Regions from separate parts of the Mus musculus genome. Here region 1 is reported to be linked to region 2. Evidence: microRNA targets listed by miRTarBase, many of them from high-throughput screens and not tested one by one. Region 2 holds a microRNA gene; the other region holds the end of a gene's coding sequence.
Evidence for each region. The annotated mature microRNA mmu-miR-196a-5p reads UAGGUAGUUUCAUGUUGUUGGG and lies in region 2 at 4,932-4,953, opposite strand. An mRNA with a match to its seed (bases 2 to 7 or 8) in the 3' UTR can be bound and repressed. Matches are read on the target gene's strand: a 7mer-m8 pairs with bases 2 to 8, a 7mer-A1 pairs with bases 2 to 7 and ends in A, and an 8mer does both.

Region 1: miRTarBase lists Pla2r1 as a target of mmu-miR-196a-5p. Seed matches in the 3' UTR shown: 7mer-m8 at 1,407-1,413.

What each region holds. Positions count from the first base shown.
Region 1 is chr2:60,413,462-60,420,627 of GRCm38, reverse strand. It overlaps Pla2r1 (phospholipase A2 receptor 1), which reads left to right. Exons shown (of 30, transcript NM_008867.2): 29 at 188-220; 30 at 326-3,085. The coding sequence ends at 615. Among named protein-coding and RNA genes, the nearest start is that of Gm13580, 5.5 kb to the right of the region's middle.
Region 2 is chr15:102,971,152-102,978,317 of GRCm38, reverse strand. It overlaps Mir196a-2 (microRNA 196a-2), which reads right to left and starts at 4,968; the gene lies at 4,884-4,968. Hoxc10 (homeobox C10) reads right to left here. Exons shown (of 2, transcript NM_010462.5): 2 at 6,420-7,166. Hoxc9 (homeobox C9) reads right to left here and starts at 1,286. Exons shown (of 3, transcript NM_008272.3): 1 at 1,217-1,286.

The DNA.
Region 1 (7,166 bases), not on the chromosome of region 2:
TCTCTCTCTCACACACACACACACACACAGAGGAGAATACATGAATGAATGACTATCAGAGCTCTAATAAAACATCATTCATATACTAGGCATGGTATATGAGCAATAGTCTGATTCTTGCTTTGCTTGAATACATAACATAACTTAGATGAATTTAAAGAAATATTTGTTTATTATTTGATTTTAGGCATCCCAGCTGTAACGGCGCAGCCAGAGAAAGGTAGGTTTGGAAGGGAAAGAATATTTAGATATTTCTTAGAATCAATACGATAGAAGGTAGGCATGTGACAGTATCTGTCCTCTGTGTTTCTTTGTCTTTCTCCAGGACTAAGCCACAGCATCGTTCCTGTCACAGTAACGCTGACGTTGATAATAGCCCTGGGCATTTTCATGCTTTGCTTCTGGATATATAAGCAGAAAAGTGACATCTTCCAGAGACTCACGGGGTCTCGGGGTTCTTACTACCCCACACTCAACTTCAGCACAGCACATTTAGAAGAGAACATTCTCATTTCTGATCTTGAGAAGAACACCAATGATGAAGAAGTTAGAGATGCTCCAGCTACAGAGAGCAAAAGAGGCCACAAAGGGCGTCCTATCTGCATTTCCCCTTAACGAGATGCCGTTATAGTGTGAATTGCGCCTCTGTTTTAATTAATCTTCAAGCACTGGTTTTGAATCTTAACCAAATCAGATGGGATTTAACGTATTCATTTCCTTTAACTGTGGCCCATTCTGAAAAGGCCCATTATTTTAAAAGACAAGAACTATTAAATAGAATTCTCAGGCCAGTCTGGTAAGCATTCAGTGTGTAGGTACACTCGATACATTAAGAGAAAGGGGGCGTGTCCTCTCACTCCATATGACAGGATGGTACTTCTGCCAGTCAGTGCTTGTTTGATTCTAAATCAACCATTTTTAAATGGTGTGGTTTGGGAAAATCCTAAATTTTAGACTTCAGGTTCTGAGCTCTCAACTAATACTTTGAATGACAAAGTTATATTAGATCTGATTCTCAAGTTAAGTGGGAGAAATACCACCTTCTCCTACATATGAAGAACTCAGTAGGCAGGCACTCTCAAGAACAACCATACAGTTTAAACTGTGCCATAAACCCTCACCTGTTAATTGATTACCTTGATTTAAAGATATCTTTTAGGTAAGTTTAAAGAAATGCATTGAGAGTTTAATATTGTCAAAGTTCATGGGCCTTACTTATTAAAAACTAAAATCTAAAATTATAAAATACTATATAACAATCTTTTGTTATTGTTCTGTTCTGTTTTGTTTTCAAGACACAGCTTCTTTGTATAAACAGTCCTGGCGGTCCTAGAATTCACTTTGTATGCCAGACTAGCCTCAAACCCTCTGCCTCCCAAGTGCTGGGATTAAAGGTGTGTGCCACCACTACCTGGCAATATGTAATCTAACCAGGGCTTACAGAATAGATGTAACTCAAACTTAAAGAGAAAAAAAAGTGAAGATCTGAATTGTGCTCCCATTAGAACCAAACTAAACAAGATGTTGAAAAAATACTGAATAAAACAACCCTGGAGAAGGTGTTTTAAAATAAACTGTCCATTCTGACCATCTCCTTTTAGTCTTGGATTAGTTGATGCCATTGGTTGGTTAATGAGGATTAAGAGTATGATATTTGGGGCCAGGAGACAGTTCAGTTGGTAAAGTATCTGCTGTGCCATCTTGAGGACCTGAGTTCAAATCCCCAGTACCCACATAAAGACTAAGTGCAGTGGTGCACATCTGCAACCCCAGCTCTGGGGTGGGTATGGGACAAAACCAGGCGAATCCCAGAAGCTCTTTCACCAGCCAGTCTCGCCAAGCTGATGAATTTCAGGTTCAGTGACAGACTTTATCTCAAAAACTATCATGGGAAAAGACACCTAATGTCAGACTTTAGCCTCAGTATGCCCACACATATATGTGCATGCACACACACACACATTAAAATTTTAAAGTATATTTCCTGTGTATTAAAAGGTCACAGGTTTGATATTCTGTCATTAATTTATGATAAATAAAAGTGTCTCCATAATCAAGAGTAAGAGGTTACTTGCCGTCTGAGTGTTTACTGGGTGTCTTTATTAAGATAGATCTTCTGTTCTAGCACAGTCCTGGGGTGAACCAGTCAGGGTGGCTTCTATGCTCATGACACGTTATTCCCAGGGAAGCAATCTATACACAGACGACAGGAGGTAGCTATGAAAATTAAGTATGGTCCCTGGGATAAACATGGGCACTCTCAGGCTTGCCTCCTTGTGTATTTCTGCCAGTACAATCCATGGCCCTGGTGCTACCTGCCACTCGTCACTAGGGGGCGCTCTGAGAAAAAGTATGAATGTGTTCTGCACAGCAAACTGGGATCCTTATCAGTACAACCTGAAGACTAGAGTCCCTGTAGACTATTACAACGACTACAGCTCCCGGTCACAGCTCTTTGCTACTGCTGTTATGTGGCTGACACACTGGGACACTTGACTCTCATTTTGTTTTCCAAGTCATAGGACTTAACTTTTAAAAGAACATTATATTAGGTAGCAGTTATATATTTATGACTCAAAAGAACTAACCGGATGGTATAAAGACTCAATTTAAAAAACTCTCAAGTGAAATTAAATTTCCTTTTATTTTGGTGGATTTGATGAAGCTGTGGTCAATTAGCCTCCCAGTAAAAGTATAAAATCACACATAACAAGTGGACAAAAGTATGCCCTTGCAGCCGTGGCCTTGCTGAAAGAGATGAGATTGCTGTCAAGGCTCTGTTTTGAAATCCTGTGTTGAGCCTTCCCTGAAGCCTGTCCCCATGAACCAATTTGCACTTGTTCCCACTGCTGAAATTTCAGAAACATAGAGTACTAAGGGACTCGCTTTTTTCACATATGAACCCTTTAAAATCCTTTTCATAGATCTCTTCTTCTTTCATTAATTTAAAAATATTTTTCATACAGTATATCTTGACCATATTCCTTCTCCTCTCAGACCTTCCCCATCTCCTTCCCCACCTGACTTCATATTCTCTCTATTTCTCAACAACAGTACAATTAAAATAAACTAACAAAATAATAAGACCAAAAAAAAAAAAAACTAAACAAAACAAAAATCACACACATAAAGCAACCCTTGGCATTCATTTTGTGTTGGCCAACTGGTTGATATACCCAGTATCACTCCAACGGAGAAAATTGATTGCCCTTCTCCCAGCAGGTATCAATTGTAAATAGCTTCTTGGTTAGGAGTGGAATGCACATTTATTTTTAATCAGAATTTGATTTCTTATTTATTTACTGTGCATTCGTGTTTTGCCTGTATGTATGTCTCTATATAAAGGTGCCAGATCCCCTGGAACTGGAGTTTGAGGCAGTTGTGGGCTCTCATGTGGGTGCTGGGACTTGAACCCACGTCCTCTAGAGAAGCCCCAGAACTTAATTTCATAACTACAGCATAAAAAAAACATAGGATTAAAAATTCACTCATGATTAATATTCATCCCTTTAAAATATATTATTTTCCTGAAGGGTCTTTGACCATGGGTTGATCAAAAATTTACTAGACCTTGGGACCATTAAAAATTAAAATATCTATATATGTAAGTTTTTCCCCTGTGACTGACCTGAGTATCTTTAGATACTCCCAAGAATTGGAAAGTCTTGGATTTTTTTCAGTTAATAACATCTTGAGTTCTTCCTATTCTAAGAGCCATTCAGGTTTGATTGTCATCGAAAGCTCCACACCTGAATGGTCTCTTTAGATGACTGTTTAGTCTTGAAGTCTCTTTACCTCTTTAAAATGGCCAAATTAATATATAGTTAACGTCTGGATATCCAGAACAAACACAACCAAAGGAATGACGTATATAATTACCTTTACATTGTGGCTAAATCCATTTGAAGTAATTTTTTTATAGTGATTCACAGTTGATACTGGAGTGGATCAGAAGAGGCAAGAGACTCTGGATTCCTCATCATGTCTACCATTCAAATATTAATTGACATAAACAATTTCAGTTTAACACCTGTATCATGCCATGTGTTGTATGACCAACAAAATCAACATGTGCGTTCATAATTTGAGGCATAAAAATAACTGCACACCTGACAAAGACAGAGGCGGATGCTCGCAGCCAACCATCGGACTGAGCTCGGGGTTTCCCGGTGGAGAAGTTGCAGAAGGGACTGAAGGGGGTTTGCAGCCCCATGAGGGGAGCAACACTGTCAACAGGCCAGACCCCACCCCCAGTCCTCCTGGGGAATAGACCACCAACCAAAGAGTACACATGGAAGGACCCATGGCTCCAGCCACATATGTGGCAGAGGATGGCCTTGTCAGACATCAGTGTGAAGAGAGACCCTGGGGCCTTGATGCCCCAGGGTAGGGGAATGCCAGGGTGGGAAGATGGGAGTGGGTAGGTGGATGGGGGAGCACCCTCATAGAGGCAGAGGGAAGGGGGAAAGGATAGGGGGTTTCCGAAGGGGAGACCAGGAAAGGGGAAAACATTTGAAATTGAAATAAAGCAAACATCCAATTAAAAAAAAAAAATAACAGCACACGTTCTAAGAAACTAGGGGTAACTGAAAACTAGAGCCTTTAAAAATTCTGTGTGTTTTGGAAGTATGGGTTCAGCTGCTGATAGCTCTCTCAGCCCCAATGGAATTCCGAGGATCCTGGAGGGTGATTTTCCAGACTGCACAGCATTTATAATTTCATGTCTGGTCTTAACAGTTCAACATAAGACAACCGAAATTCAGTCTTGTTAACTCTTTATGTTGTGAAGCACTGTCAAGCTGTTTGCATGTGGTTTTACAAAAGATTCAGGCTCAAAGAAAAGGCCAATACTGCAGGCATACCTGTAAATAAATATCTAGACTGTGTGCTTCATTTCATTATTTTGTTTTGTTTTGTTTGTTTGTTTGTTTGTTTGTTTGTTTGTTTTTCGAGACAGGGTTTCTCTGCATAGCCCTGGCTGTCCTGGAACTCACTCTGTAGACCAGGCTGGCCTCAAACTCAGAAATCCGCCTGCCTCTGCCTCCCGAGTGCTGGGATTAAAGGTGTGCGCCACCATGACCGGCGGTTCATCTCATTATTGTTACTACATCTTCAGTGTTTTTAAAGAAGAGCCAACAAAAGTGCCCAAACATGAAGCGCTGGGTAAAGTAGAGAGAATCTGCATACGCCTCTAATTCCTGATGAAGGTTCTAATTGCAGAAGAGAATATCTCACGAAAGCCAGAAACTGAGCCCCCACGTGTGACAGTGACCTTCTCTACTCAGAGTTAATTAACATGAGCACTTGCTTCTTGCAGGGCACTTCGCTATAATTTAGAACAAATTAAGGGGAAAAAAAAATCACTCAAGTGCTGTTTTTCTTCCCACTGTGAAGTGAGCATGATGGACCAAATTTAATGCATCTAAAATGCTATCATCCGTTTCCGGGATTGATGAAAAGCAATGAATTCCAATATCGCTTTTTAAAAAGAATCCCAATCTGTGTTTCTTCTAATGTTTCCTATTAATGATCAATGAGTTTGAAGATTAATAAATGTCTTTTCCACTGCACCCATTAAGTCTCCTATCTACATTTGACTCACTGTATGCGCTCCTGGATATTTTTAAATAGATAAATCTTAAATTTAATGTGACAACCAGTTAAAGAATCACTTTTGTTTCCTCTTGCCTCTTCCCCAGCCCTGAAATTACAGCTTTATTGTTGTTTGTGCCTGGCCTGGAGCTCCTCTCTTTGTCTCTCACCTGATGAGGGCATGGCCCCAGTGGCTGTCTGAACTTTAACTTCTTAGTGCGTAGGGCTTTGTGGGAGCTGGAAATCTAAGTCATAGATATGATTAGCTCTCTTAGTTAATTAATCAATTAGTTAATGCTTAATTAATGGTTAGCCCTCTTTCCCAGTAGACCCTGGAACCTGCCAGGGGATGTGTGGAACGAAAGGAAAAACATGGGAAGAGACTCACAGAACTCAGTCAGCGGGGAGTGAGCTCTGGCTGCTAGAGTCACACTTCGATTGGGGCTGGGGAAAAACTGATTGGCCTGGAGCAAGCCTAGATGGGCAGTGTTTATCCAAGCCACCCCCACAGGGAGTGCTTAAGCAAGATGCCTCTGATCTGGCTCTCACTCCATTCTGGATGGCGGCTCAAAAGGAACAACAAAACTCCTATAGTCTCCGCCCACTGACCAGGAGTTTATGGGATGGAGAAGCTATCGCCTCCGACTATAGGGAGGGATCCAAGAGCTTTGAGAAAATGGGACCAATGGTGGACGCTCTCTGGCACTGGCATTGGATCTTATACTAAACTTCCCAAAAGAAGAGCAGGAACAGAAAACATATAGAGAAAGAAGATAGCCCCCAACAGCATGTTAATGGTAAATGAATGTTTCAGACTAATCCATAGCTTGTTTCTGCTCCCATGGAGGGCAGCCATTGAACTTTTCACGTGTGCTATTATTACTCACACTGCATGTAATGCAGTAATACCTGACTCAGTTGGGACCTCAAAGAACCTCCTTTTAAATCAGTTGTAAGAAGGGGTCATGGGGGCTGGAGAGATGGCTCAATGGTTAAGAGCACCGACTGCTCTTCCGAAGGTCCTGAGTTCAAATCCCAGCAACCACATGGTGGCTCACAACCATCCCTAGTGAGATCTGATGCCCTCTTCTGGTGCATCTGAAGACAGCTACAGTGTACTTATGTATAATAATAAATAAAACTTTTATATATATATAAAGAACATTGGTAGATACACTCTTAGCTTATACATGTATTTTCTATTAGAACACGCCCAGATGTGTTCACTCATCTTTTGGCTAAGGACAGCACCAATCAGTAGACTATTCTTTGCAGTTGGTCTAATCAGGTTTGCTCCATAAGCATCTGCTTCACTGTCACTAGCAGGTAAAAAAATTTACTGATGCTCGCGGACCTGTTTGAGCACCTTCAAAATCTCTGCAGTTTTCTCCCATATCTGAGATTCTCTTGCTCAATGACAGAATGTTTATTCATATTTTTGTTTCACAAAGCCGTTTTTGTAGTTTTTATATAAGAACTCCTGTAGCCCCATTTTACGTTTCAAAATAAATCATACGTAATTCGCAGAGCCTGGTACATCTGGCGTAAGTGGGTTGGTGAACAAACGAAGCAGC
Region 2 (7,166 bases):
TGGGAGTCCAGAGGACACTAGGCCCAGGTCCTTCATATAGGTTGTGACTCTCATGTTTCACATTTAAAAGCTAGCAGGTCAGGACTGTGAAGTGGACTTTCAAGTTTTCCCTAAATCTAGGCTTGTAGATATGGAGGGCAAAGACATGGATGCGAAGAAGCAAGGTCTCATCTTGGGGATTCAGTTACTCCCACTGAATCTCCTATTTTATTCTAAGACTTTCTCTCATTTACCCAACTCCTTTCAATTGTTCTTAGCATCAATGGGGCAACCTGAGAGACTTGAGGAAACTGGGAGTCACTGCTGGAAAGGGAGGAAGAAAGCCCAGTTCTAGCTGACTATTCTGTATTCACCTTACACCCCCAACAGATTCCAGTGGGCACAGGAGAGGAGTCCCCTGAAGGGGGATGGGCAAACCTCTATCACCTCAAACCTGGGCAACTGAGAAAACAGCCAAGCTAGCACTGTGGGAAGGACAGACAAACAGATAGGTTAGAGTCATCCTCCTCCCTCCCCCTACCGCGTGTCTCCCTTTTAATGATTTAAATTCCCTCCGGTTCAATCCACACCGTCAAGTTCGGATTAAATTTAAAACAGGCTTTCTTCTGTGCCCCCAGCGGGCCATCCCGGCCGCCGCAGGCAGAGAGCCCGCTCTCTGCTCCTCAGCACCCTCCCTGAACCGAGGAGGCCCTACTCCGTTTGCTTTCATTTTCCTTCTCCCCCTGAAATGGGCTCATTTCGTCCCTCCGCTGCCCTCTCGCCTTCCCCGCCCCCCTCCCTGGTTCCCTTCTAGTTCCCCCCCCATCTCTCCTGATCCCTCTTTGTTGGGAAAAACACACCCACACACAACTCCTCCTAGCTAAGGCCTGAGCTGGAAGCAGAAACTGAGTTCTCCTGCTTGCTGCGAGGAGAACTGCGTGCTACCCCCACCCAAGGTGGGTATCTGGGATCCCTGCCACCACACCAAGAGCCAGGCCCCCAAGCTCCGCAAGCGTGAAACCCCCAGGGCCTGTGAACGTGGCCCTCTCAACGCCATGGCCTGCCCGGCCTGCCTTTGCGCCGGCGCCCCCGCCCTGCCGCTCCGCAGCAAACGGGGTTATTTCCGGCTCCCCCAACACAGTCTGTTTTTCCAGCCTGGGGAGTGACTGGAGAGGTAGCCTCCCCAGAACCAGGGTTGCCCTGTGCTCTGATTCAATGGCTCTGAGCGCGTTGTTACCTGATCTTTTGTGTGATGTATGTATCGCAAGGAAATTTGCAGTGACTTTGGAGCCCAGACTGAGGAAGCGGAGGTGGCGAAAGGAGAGACAATAAGGGCTCGAAGTACAATTAAGGAGCCACAGCCGCGGGTCCCTCCCCGCCCTCCCTAACCGACTGGAGCTGTCTAGCTTCAAACATCAGGGCGACCCGCGAACCTAGAACCGGAAAACTCAGCCTGTGACCAAGGAGCCAAAGGACTACACATCCAGAAAAGAGGAAGAATGCTCCCTCCCAACCTGGGTTGTCGTAGCCAGCCCTGCCGAGTTTCAGAGAATCCAATGAATGAAAGTACACATTCCGACGACGAATTTTTCTGAGCCTTTGGAAGGAGTGCCCGGGTTTGGGAAGTCTCAGACAGACAGGCAAGCGGCGTCTCCCAATGCAGACAGACCACAACATGAGTGTGAGACTGAAATCATACACAGGTTGAACATCCCGAGGCCTCCTTTCCAGGCCTGGTGGGCGCCGATCTCCCTACCTTCTCTCCCGCCAGAACCTTAAGCAGAGGCCCGGAAGACTTGGTACCTTGGGCTTGGTGCAATACCGCCTCAGAAAGCCTCCTTTACCTGCTTCTTGGCTCCCCACGGCCACAGAGGCAGGGCAGCAGCCTCCCGCCCAGGGAGGGAAGCCCTGGCCACCGCAGCCGCCGCCACCCGCCCTCCTTCCCTCCCTCCCTCCTTCGCCCTCCCTCCCTCCCTCGCACGCTGCCGCTCGCGGGGCCCTCCCGCGGACAACCTGCTCTGGACCATATCCAGGTATCTCCGAAAGGAAAAAAAAAAGAAAAGAAAGAAAGAAAAGAAAAAAAGAACTGCGTATACGGGGAGGTGGGAACACATAACTGCATTTATTTTCATGCTCTAATCATTGGTTCGACCCTAGTTTAGTCTTCCCGGACACAGCCCATCAGCCGCAGAGATGTGCGGGGCCTACAGCCTCGCCCAAGCTGACCGCCGCGCCCCGCGCACAACACACTCCCTCAATACCCCTGGTTGCCGCGCCCCCGGCAGCCCAAACACCCAACAGACCTCAAGGTCCTTCCTACAGACTCAACATCCGGTTGCCTGGCTCGCCGCTGACCACAGACCAGGAGTCCACTCTACTCAGTCTGTGGTCGATGTTCACACACAATCCACCTTGTCCCTGCTCTTGTGCCCTGCCCGGACACCCTTCGGAGTCCAGCCATCCGCTGAGCTACACTTGGGCTAACCTCGTCCCCAGCAAGGACCCACACAAAGCTCTGTGCGCTAGTCTTCCCATTTATACTTCCCCTATCCCCGTTTGCCGCCTTCACGTCACCTGTTCTCAAGAAGGGCTGCATCTTCCAGCAAGTGAGCCGAAGCAAGGCCGACTGCTGGGGTGAGGTCCCAGAGAGACCACAGCGGATTAGCTGGGCTGAGCCTAAGCCCCCACTGCCGGCGAGACATCTCAGAGATCAGGGCTCTCCTTGGCGAGCTCTTGCCTTTTCCTCCTTCTCCCGCAAGTCTCAAACACGCGCCGAGAGTTCAGCTCTATAAATCCTGCTCCCCTTCCCCATATCATAATTAAAAAAAACCAGTAGGGGAGGTTTTAACTTTTATTGCGATTTCTAGAGTTGGGCTGCGGAGCATATATTAAGTTTACGCTTATGTGCTCTCGGCGGGGAGGGTCCTTTAAGAAATAAAAATCCATCTTAATATCCTCAGATGAGAGAGATAATTTTTTCCCTCCTTTTCACGCTGTTCCTTCTGAACACTCCCTTCCAGCGAAGCGAATAAATAATTACCATCGCCTTAGCCATGATCCACAGTCCCAGGGCCCCCAGGGTGGACTCTGACCATCAGACTGGTCCTCACCTTGGCCCTATGAGACCTTGCTCCACTTCTCCAGATCTAGGGAGAAGACTGCCCTGACCCCTGACTCTGTGGCCACCTCCTTTAAATCCATCATCTTTGAAATGGAAATAGGGGCAAAGTGACTCAAGGCACAGAAGCCCTGTATTGATAAATTTCGGTTCATCAGGGCCATTTCTCTAAGCCAAGAGCTCTTGAACACCTTGCTCCAGCCTGAGGCTCCCCTTACCCAAACTGGCTGTGTGCCTCAGAGACTCTGAAGTTAGAGACTATATGGGCTCCCAAACCAGGGGATTCCCTTATACATATCTTCCTTCACCAACTGGCCCGTCTTTCTGGAAACCTCCTCATTTCCCTGGGAGCCATAGAGATTTAAATACTTTTCTTCACACAAAGGGATGGAGAACAGCTAGGACCGACAATTCAGCTGGGAAGGGGGGGGTCTATTCACATCTTCTTTTCCAATATCCACAGAAGTCAAAATGAATTTCACACACACACACACACACACACACACACACACACACACACACACACACACACACACACAGAGAGAGAGAGAGAGAGAGAGAGAGAGAGAGAGAGAGATTTCAAAAAACCTAGAAAGGACAGATAGAAACAGAGACCTATACACTTGTCATGAATTTAAAGTCACATTCTTTTCTTCTAAGACACCATGTTGAGAATACAAAATTTTTCATGATAATTTGTTAAGAGACATGGTTGTATTCCCTGCTTTCATAATCATAATTACAAAAGAGCCCCAAGAATCTGGCCTCCTTTAGGTTTCTCCTTTTCAGAGTCTCTGAGAACAGATCCTATGCCTGTTTCCCCTTTTCCCTGATCATCCCCCCATTTTTTCCTCTGAAGACCAGAAAACCTTTTCTGAGATCCTCACTTGACAAACCAAGTCCAGAATTAAGAAAGCCGAAGGGAACAGAGTGGAGGAGGTCTGTAAAGTTTCTCATTGCTCAGATCTCCCTCTGTCCCATTCTTCTCCCCTCCGCCCCCTACCATCAGCCAACAGCCTTCTCAACAATATGGTAACGGTGGGCGCTGGCAGCGTCTGTTTACCCAGACATTTCCACAGAACACAAGGACAGGCAAATGCCTAGCAGTCTCAGACAGGCAAATATACAGACCAAGGCCTACGGATAACAGACAAGACAGACCAGAGCTGGGCTTTTGCCCTCAACAGGGTGTGTTGAAGGAGGTTTCGACTTGGACTTGGTGTTTCTCCACTAATGTACTCACTTCCTATATCCATCCTTTCCCTGGAGATGGAGCTATGGAGGGAAGAAGAGGCTACTGTTCTCAGAGTTCCCTAACTCTTTGAACACCAACACCCTCACTTTCCAAAGGAGCACTGCTCTCTCCTTAGAGGTAACAGGGAGAGACTTCAGAGATTCCCTCCTCTTTCTAGGAGCTTTTCTGTCCTTTCATGACTGCCCCACCCTGTTCCTCAACTAAGCTGGCCCAACAGGCCAAACTCAAACTCCTGCATTTCCTTGGAATTGGCTGGACCTTCTTTGTCTGTCTTTATCAGCTGGGCACAGGAGACAATAGCTACGGGAGTGAGGAGGGGGGAGAAACCCTTTCCCTCCATTCCAAAGATTGGGACAGGCTGAGGGGGAGATGGTTGTAAAGCAGGGCTGTCCAGAATTTGTCCCATGGCCCCACTCACAGCCTGACCTCCTCAGTCTGCACCTATTTTGCCCTTTCTGGGATGGGTGGTGGGGCAGTCCCACAAGGGAAGGAAGGGTTAGGGGAGGTGGATTGGGGCCCTCGACGAAAACCGACTGATGTAACTCAGGCAGTTTCTTGTTGCCGAGTTCAAAACTCAATCCCAACAACATGAAACTACCTAAGCCACAGATCAGCTGAGCAAGCAGGGCCGGAGTTTAGGGCTTTGCATCTATCCAAAGAAGAAGGGAAGGGGCTTGGGGAAGGAAGAAATTCAGCCCGGTCCCCCTTCAGCCCTACAACCTCCCTGAGGACTAGAGAGTGGACTTTGGGTGGCTGGGTGGGTTGAGGGTCTGATAGTCTCCCGTTAGTTTCTGGTATAAGCAAGTTGCATTGGGAAAATCTGGTGAAAAGGAACCTCTAGCCGCCAAATCCCTGCCCCACCCCCAGTACTGCAGTAGAGCTATCCCCCTGCATCTGGCCCTGGCCCTGGGGGGAGCTGGATCGTTCTTCCACTCTTGAGCTGGGTCCCCTGTCTTATCCATCTGGCTCTCCTCTACTCTTCTCCCAGACTCAGTGTCTAAGGATTCTCAACAAACATGGGTGTCTAGACCACAGCGCCTGTGCTCAGGAGCCACTTACAGTCGGGCCACTTGTCTGGCAAATCCCTACAGCTTGGGAACACGAAGACCAAGAACATGGACAAGGCTCACACCCACACCAGCAAAACGCAAGAAAACCCAAGCTTCAAGCTCCAACCCTTCTACCTTACAACCAGACAGAGACACCTAAGCTGATGGGTGGATCTCTAGACGCCCCTAAGTGCCATCAAAGATAAAGAAGCCAAAACCACCAATTTACCCCCTTTAACCACCGAACCCCACGGCGGTAGTGGACCAGGGAGGGGAGGAGAGGGAGCTCATAGCCGCTGCCCTCCACTGCTGGCGGCCACAAGGAAAATCCGGGTCTCTCAGAAAACACAGACGCCCAAAACACCTTCCTCCGTGCTCTACGCGCTGCTCTCCGGGCACCTGGGAACGCTGCTAGTCCTCAGTCGACCGCCAAGAGAAGAACAAGAAACCGATTCTCTTACCTTGTCGCTGCCTCCTCCTTCTCTTGCTGCCGCTGGCGCTTCTGTAAGCTGCTGTCGAGGGCGGGGGCTTAACTCCTCGTGCCCCTCCGGCAGTTAAGTTTATTCCTCTGTTTAGATGGGTGGGGGTTCCTGAGGTACCCCCCCAGCAGTGGTGGGGTGCATCCAGCCCCAGTACCGAAGGCAATCAGATCCGTCTGCTCCTCAAGATTGCAGTTTGCTCTCTGCCTCTTTCCCTCCTCCAGTCACCTTTAAATGCATCTTTTACTGCAGTACCACATTATATTTGCAGATCATAAAATCCACCTCTCGCGCGCACCAAGACCGTCCTGACATTACTGTTTTATGACCTTGACTTATTGTGGTCACCTGGATAATATTTAAATCAACGTTATGGTCTCTCACTTACATTAAACCCGCCAAGAGACATTCTGGAAAGGCTGTAGGAGATGAGTCAAACACAAAACACACACATATCCACACACTCAGTGTTTTGGGGGAGGGGGTGCCGCTAAAAAAAAAAGCGCCACTAAAAACAAAACAAAAAAAAAACCCATCCATTTGAGGATTAAGATTCCGGAAATTTATTAGGATTTTTTTTCTCCATTAAGGAAGCTACATGCAAAAGATACAACATACAGAATATCTTTAAATAACACAACTCCCAGACAGGAGCAGGACAACTTGGAGGGGGGGTTGTTTTTACTTTGCTATGCTCTATTTTTAATTTTTTTTTTGTTCTTCTGGATGGAATTTCTGAGATGAGAGAGATATAGTGTGTTGGGAAGGGTGGGAGAAAAGCAGAAAGCAGTACAAATACTTCAAGCATATTCTCAGAGCCATTGGGAGGGAAAGACAGAGAGAGGGAGGGTTTAGTCTAGACACTGGGTACTATGACAAACACACAAATACTAGCTGAACTTTCAAGACTACCTATTATTCTAAGGGGGGAAATGCAGCAAGGAAGGAGCAATGCTAACTGTGCTCTACAAGGTTACAGACCCTCTCTGTTTGATTATCCCCCTTTCTTTCCCCTCTAATCGGGTGCATTTGACCTCAACTTTGCATGGAGAACAGAATGCTGTATGTGAGTGCATGGGTGACTGAAGAGTTGACACACACACCGGCCACACTACCACCCCATCTATGAGGGCACACACAACACCCCAAAACCCATCACCCCATTTCATGCTTTAGGTGGAAGCATCCTCGAAGCACGAACCATAGGTCCCTTGGAAGAAGAGTCTGAGGTCTTTGCCTTTTTTTTTTTTTTTGCAGGCGAGTTGCATTTATACTCAGGGAGGGAA